Caenorhabditis elegans: one gene and its partner. The protein of the gene in region 1 purifies or fractionates together with the protein of each later gene. This does not show direct contact. Each region holds a gene or a part of one and is shown in the gene's direction. Other genes may lie near its edges. The genes, in order: lbp-5 and F40A3.3.

What was found.
Region 2: the proteins of lbp-5 (region 1) and F40A3.3 fractionate together in Caenorhabditis elegans (co-fractionation; one large-scale study listed by BioGRID). This does not show direct contact.

What each region holds. Positions count from the first base shown.
Region 1 is NC_003279.8:6,730,528-6,734,336, reverse strand, and holds lbp-5 (Fatty acid-binding protein homolog 5), read left to right. Parts: upstream 1-2,060; 5' UTR 2,061-2,067; coding exon 2,068-2,277; intron 2,278-2,806; coding exon 2,807-3,007; 3' UTR 3,008-3,070; downstream 3,071-3,809. Other genes in the region: smg-5 (PIN domain-containing protein), read left to right, coding at 1-155; ant-1.2 (ADP/ATP translocase), read left to right, coding at 3,378-3,809.
Region 2 is NC_003283.11:7,875,510-7,879,167, forward strand, and holds F40A3.3 (Phosphatidylethanolamine-binding protein), read left to right. Parts: upstream 1-2,019; coding exon 2,020-2,033; intron 2,034-2,104; coding exon 2,105-2,200; intron 2,201-2,266; coding exon 2,267-2,381; intron 2,382-2,427; coding exon 2,428-2,883; downstream 2,884-3,658. Other genes in the region: F40A3.4 (Envelope glycoprotein N), read left to right, coding at 340-409, 931-994, 1,050-1,194; F40A3.2 (EGF-like domain-containing protein), read left to right, coding at 3,424-3,517.

The sequences.
Region 1 (3,809 bases):
GCTGCGCGGAGCAATTGGTTCAAAGTGCACGAAGATCTGCAGAAGATCACAAGCATATTGTCGCTTTTCTGTGCAAAAACCCGAGTGAACAGAAAGAAATGGAAGGAGTTACTTTTTACGATATCGATCAGTTCTACATGAAGTATTTGGAGTGATGAAAAGAAAGGGCTCTACACTGAAAAATCTCACGATGGCTGGAATTGGAACCGCTTAAAATCATTGAGATCATATTCTTCGGATTTATTTTTGATTTATTTTACTGGATTCAATTATTTGACAATTTTTTGGTAATAAAATTTTCTAATTAACTCTTTTCAAATCATTTCACAATAGTATTAAATTAATAGTAGTACTATGTTCCATTTCGTTCAAATTGAAAATTCCAAGAGCACTCCCACGTATCTAAACAATTATGAATTCTTTTGCCACCCCCGTAAACCATTTAGAAAATTGCATTTTCATTTCACAATCATACCTTTTCGATTCCTATCAGCCTACTATAAATTGATTTTCATGAAGTAAGTAACATTTTCAATTTTTATGCTCCGCAAATCGAAGCTACACATTCCCTGACTGTGAGTATTCTAGAGTACTGTAAGTCTACTATTTTGCTAAACGTGCGAAAACTTCCAGATACCGAATTAGTTCCAGAACATTCACCCTCACTAAAAACTCTAAAATCACCTTAATTTGAATGTTCCTCTGTGTCCCGTCAGACAGTGTCTAGGGCCGATTCTCAGTCAGATAAATAGCGCTCTTCTTTTAGAAACAGGGTGAGAGGAGATTGTATCACTCTCATATCGAGGTCATTCAAATGAAAAGAGGTATACTTTTGTTGATTGAAATACATTTGTGTAAAGTTGAGATGTTTCGATTTGAAAACTTGAGAAAAAAATCTGGTTTTGTTTACTAATTGCGGCTTTTACAGTTTACCATTTACTGCTGTATTGTCTCGTCATGCCACTTAGACACCCAATTTTCAATTGAAGTAGAAATTATATTTCCTTCTTTTTCCAAATCTCACTAAGATTATATCAACTACGAAATCGATACAAAATATCTACATACAAACTGTTTTTCTGGTGAATTCTACCTTACTCCACTCATCTTTCCAAATTTTCAGTGAATGTTATCATATTTCTAAAACTAGGTATGGGAAAACTGAAAATGTGCCCTGAAAAGCAGTGGTCCCCCAATATTTTTTTAAATTAATGTTGGTTTTCGCAACGTCATAGTTGTCAAATAAGTCGGTTTCAAAACTTGAACAAACATTTTCGATTGACTCACACATAAACGGACACAGTAAAGTCAGAGAAAAGTCACAATTTTGATTTTTTTTTGTTTTTTGTATAACAAATACTGTATAAACACTCAAATATTTAAAAGCTTCTTGCGAAAAATTCCCGCATTTATAGTAGATCAATCCGTTATGGTACATCTTGACATATAGTTCTGGAAAATATTTTTTTAATCGAAAACCTACATTGGCCATCGTTTAACCTTGTTGCCCGCCATCTCTTCCACGTTAAAAGTAGCGTTTTGGTGTTATGCTCAATTAAAAAAATGTCAAAAATTGTAAAAAAAAAAACGAGATCGCATTGTATCTACTTTTGAACGACACTATATGTCAAAAGTTTAAAAAGTACTATTAATCGTGATTCACCATGTACATACTACACTCCATCTTAGTGTATTCCATGTTATCAGTTCAAAACCGTCCAAAAATTGACCAACTTGTCCATCACCCAATACAACGTGGCAGCAGTTTCAGTACACTCCCCCTTGTGTCCTATTTACTATATATACGTTTTTCTGGTTTTCACTCATCTAAACCACTTTCTCCTGCTTTTTGTATTAATATTCCTTATTGCAATGCATTACATTTTTTATTTTTGTCATTAGAAACTATAAATTTAATAATACGAATCCAAAAGAATCATAGGCAATTTTCTAAAAGCAGAAATAAATCATCCAGAATTTCTTAATACTTATTCGTTTTTCATTTAATTCCCTTTATTATTATTCTGGTACTTCTTTATCAAAATTGTAAATTTCCAAATTTTCAGAATGTCTGCTGAACAATTTGTGGGTCGTTGGAAGCTTGTCGAATCCGAGAATTTCGAGGATTACCTGAAAGAAGTTGGGGTTGGTCTTCTTCTTCGTAAAGCCGCGTGTGCTGCAAAACCAACTTTAGAGATCAAAGTGAATGGAAACAAGTGGCATGTCAATCAACTTAGCACCTTCAAGAACACCACATTGGAGTTCACTCTGGGAGTGGTAAGTGAAATTTTGAAAAAAGGAAACGAGAATAGAACTCAACAACTATATGGCTTTTTCGTTAGTTATTTTCTTTCCCATTTAAAAACTTTCAAATGCCTTTCTCGAAACTCTAGCAAACACTGATAAGACTCAAACTAGTGGGTCAAAGTGCAGGAAGGTACACGTGGTTTTCAGTGTAAACAAAAAAATGAGAATAAAGAACAACTGAACTTTGTATCCATTTGAACACTACACACAACAAACGGGTGTTCTATTAACATAGATACACTTTGTGGCATGAAGAAATAATCTAATGTTTATGTCTTTCAGAATAGGTCTATGGAAAATTCAATTGCGAACTCTAAACGAACATTTGAAATCAAAAAAAGAATCATATTAAATCTAACAAAATATTTTTTTTTCGAATTAGTTACGATCTTTAAATGTGTCGGCTACATGAAAAACAACTCCCGGTTTTCATTCCATTAAAGTTCAGTTTTTAAATTGACTGTTATAATTTACCATTTAAAAAAATAGTGTTTTTTAGGAATTCGACGAGACAACACCAGACGGTCGTCAATTCAAGTCAACCATCACAATTGAAGATGGAAAAGTAGTTCATGTTCAAAAAAGGATTAAGGATTCAGATCATGATTCTGTAATCACTCGTTGGTTTGAAGGAGAAAAGCTCATCACAACTCTCCAATCTGGATCAGTTATCTCTCGTCGTGCCTATATTCGTGAATAGATTATTTTGAATATTGTTCTTGTTTTGTTCGGTCTTTGATGCAATAAATAGCGAAAAATAGTGTTTTTGTTTACGCAGAGTGACGTTTTAAAGGACCAGAAACCCTTTTCTTTTCTCTGTCTCTGTTAAAAAAGGCCTTGTTTATTTTCCGTAAAATTTTTCATTAGTTTCAACAATTTTTAAAGAAACACTTTTGTTTTAGATTTTTCTTTTTTTTTAAATTAATTTTATTCTTTATATTGATTAGACTTTCATGACCAAAATTTTGAGAAGAGTCTAGTGAGCTCCTTCCTACTCGCATTTGAAGAAAGTTTTATTATCAGCATTCAGGAAATATAATCTCTGAAAAAAAACATTCCAGAAGGACAAAATGACCACAAAGGAAGGATTTGATTATCGAAAGTTTCTTGTTGATCTCGCCTCCGGAGGCACTGCTGCAGCAATCTCAAAAACTGCCGTTGCTCCAATTGAACGTGTAAAGCTTCTACTTCAAGTCAGTGATGTCTCTGAAACAGTAACTGCCGATAAAAAATATAAAGGAATTATGGATGTTCTTGCTAGAGTGCCAAAAGAACAAGGATATGCAGCATTTTGGAGAGGAAACCTTGCAAATGTGCTTCGATATTTTCCAACGCAAGCGCTGAATTTTGCATTCAAAGACACTTATAAGAAGATGTTTCAAGAAGGAATTGACAAGAATAAAGAATTCTGGAAATTCTTTGCTGGAAATCTCGCTTCTGGTGGAGCAGCTGGTGCAACATCTCTATGCTTCGTGTACCCACTGGATTTTGTGCGTACTCGT
Region 2 (3,658 bases), on another chromosome or scaffold:
TGTCTGAATAATTAATTTTAAATTCAAAGATATTTCTAGATTACCTGTGACGGTACATAAACTGCTTTTAACAGATCTTCAATATTAATTTATAAAAACGAAAAAAAACGTGTCAAAGTGACTTTGCACTTTTAAAGTAATCCCTCTCTCAATTTCATTTTTATCCAAAATACCCTCTATATTTCGAACTCATTTCGTTTTCATTTGACCTCCTCTTATTTTTTATCCAATTTCCTCTAACTTTTTTTTGCAGTTTCCGGCGAAAAAGGATCAAATGTGTCGTCCGTGAACTCGTCCATCATCAGTTTTCTCCAAACAAGAAACAAAAAACAACAAACCATGTCGCGAATGGATAGTTATAGTTCATCGATTCGTGAGGAGCAGAAAGCCATTCTTAATGGTCTTTTAGGTATTCTTTTTGCGGACGGTTAGTCAAAAGTGTACTGTAGTAGAAACGAAAATGTGCTTTGGTGCATGTGGATTTTGTGATGAGATACTAATAATTTGTACGCGTGAGGGTGAATTATTCTTTTTTTGTAAAATTTGACGCACTAATTTTTTTTGGAAATCAAACATTTGCTCGTAAAATGTGATGTATTGAATCGGCACACTGCACCTTTTCCTTTTGATCTTAAACCAGTAATTAAAAAAAACAATTTATACTCGTTTATTTTTCCACTGGTGTCGCACGGTAAATTTAGTATGACGTCACTATATCCGGACAACAATTTCTAATTTTCAGTTGCTTCTTTTTCAATCAATTATTTCTGAAGATTTACTAAAAAAAATAGTCAAAAATTCCTGAAATCTCAAGTTAGTCCATGTCCCCAAGAGCCGCGAAGTTACACATGTTTTTTGCATTTTTGTTGAGTGAAAACTGTTTTTAAAAAGAAGTTCGAGACAATTACAAAAAATTAATTTTTTTTTCAGGAATAATCTATGACAACTATGACACAACTAGGAAAATTCATCAAACCGTCGATGGAATCTATCGGTTAGTTCCTTCAATTCATTCTTAATATTCTTCTTGGTGAGACCCATTTTTTCAGAATGGTCGTCGCCTTATTGCTCATCGTGATAGCTCTCATCATCATTGCCGTATTTCTCATTTGTTTCTTTCATTGTCGCCGTGCCAACAACGAGGAGAGATCTCCACTGCACTCGAATCGAAAAAGTCATCCCATTGAAATTTGAACATTATTTAAGAATTTTGTAATTTTCGATAGAATACGTTTTGTTATGGGTCTTGCCTTGTGTACCAATAAATTTTTGAACTATGCAGAATATCTAACAATTATGGCTGATTTTAGTCGTTTTTATGTAAAAGCGAAGAAAAATCAGCGATTTTGGACCTAATAATTTGTATAAGGTTTTTGTATAAGGCCATGAAACCTTTTGAAACCAGGCTGTACCTTTAAAGAGGTACCGTAATTTTATCATTTTTTTCGATGTTTTCTGAAACCAGTTTTTTTTTCACTTTTCTAGTCGATTTTTAATTTAACATTTCTCCAAAAGACACAAACATTACAATTATGTGTTGACAGTTAGACAGGAAAAGTGCAGCGAGACGCAGAGAACAACGAAACTCCGTTGCAGGCGCTGCGCCCGTATTAATGTGAACCGAAGATTTTTTTGTAAATAAATTTGATGATTTCAAAACTGTTATCTGATCGAAAATTCATTTTTAAATGAAAATGTTTGCGAAAATAATAAATAATACAGTAACTTTAGGTATTTATTAAAGGCGCATCCAGGATTTTTTAGTAAGGTCTCGCCACGAGTTAGCTCCGTACTACTCGTGGGCAAGATATACATTTTAATAATTAATTCGCTGTTTTTTTTTAAATTTTTTCTTCACTTTTATCGCCATTTAAACCGAGAAAAAAGCTTTCGATGTTCAAATTGATATCTTTTACATTCTCAAATAATAAATTTTCGTTCTGACACGACCTAAATAAGTTTCTCTCGACATGTTTCGTTGTTTGCATCCATTCCTGATATTTTGTCTTCTGACAAAACATGATTTCTCATCGGTATGTAGTGAAAACTAATTGATTGTATTGTTTTTCTTTCGCGTGAGAAAATAATAAAAAAATAAATTAAGGATGGTCGTCCTGGTAACGAGATCTCTGCTCCCCGCCTTATTTTTTGCTTCTAGAGCTCCATTCGCTGCCGCAACTACTTCTGCTAGATTCCAAAGGTTTTCGTTCATATTTTTCTTCTTTTCCAATTTTTTTATTCAACTAAACCTTTTTGTTTATTTCAGAGGTCTCGCTACAATGGCCGCCGAAGCATTCACCAAACACGAGGTCATTCCAGACGTTCTCGCTTCCAACCCACCATCCAAGGTTGTGTCTGTCAAGTTCAACTCTGGCGTCGAGGTAATTCAAAAAAAAGAAATTTAAAAATGTTTAAAAATGTTTTCAGGCTAATCTTGGAAACGTTCTCACTCCAACCCAAGTAAAGGATACTCCAGAAGTAAAATGGGATGCTGAGCCAGGAGCACTCTACACTCTCATCAAGACGGATCCAGATGCTCCATCTCGCAAAGAGCCAACCTACCGAGAGTGGCATCACTGGCTCGTCGTCAACATTCCAGGAAACGACATTGCCAAAGGAGACACTCTTTCCGAGTACATCGGCGCCGGACCACCACCAAAAACTGGACTCCATCGTTACGTTTACCTGATCTACAAGCAATCTGGACGCATCGAAGATGCCGAGCACGGACGTCTAACCAACACTTCCGGAGACAAAAGAGGAGGATGGAAGGCTGCCGATTTCGTCGCAAAGCACAAGCTCGGTGCTCCAGTCTTCGGAAATCTGTTCCAGGCCGAGTACGACGACTACGTGCCAATTCTCAACAAGCAACTCGGAGCATGAGTTGTTCTTCTGTAAAATTGCTAAATACAAAGTTTGTAATTTATATTGTGATTTTCTATCAGCCAGTTTTTTCCTATCCAAGAAGTAAATAAATTTGATGAAACGATGATAAACAAATCGCAATCTTCAGACGATTCTAACTTTGTTATCTTCTCTCCCTATCCGTCCTCCAATCATCGTTACTGATTACCAGGCAGTGGCCATTCGAATTCTCCCATTTCGACATTCTCGTCTCTTCTCATTTTTCTTCTCTCTGACGCCGACGACTTCCAAATTTCTGTCTTCTTCGCTCGCAGGTTATCATGTTAACCCTCCATTCTCATCCACAGTCTATTTACAATACAATTCTCCAATTTCTTTTCCGTTTTCCAAATTGATTCCAGTGTCTTTCTTCGAATCCAAAAATTTTCTTAATTTCTTTCTTGTCTTCTCCGATATTTTACCTAATTGCACCCACTTGACTTTGAAACTAAAGTTGAACTAAGGGCAGAAAAAGAAAAACACACAGGTTTTTTGTTGAGGTAATTGCTGCAGCAGAAAATGCTTCGGAGGATTCTTCTCTCCGCTATACTAATTGTTTTAGTAGCCTGCGTTCTCCGCAAGAAGAAGCCATGTATCAATGGAACTCCTGAAGGTGATTAATAAATCTTTCAGGGCTAACATATAAATTTCAAATTAGAAAATTTGATGTATGACATGAGAAACCTAGAATTAAAATCGAAAGGTTTTGTAGAATAAATTTGAAAATAAAAGGTGAAAACCGGATACATTTATT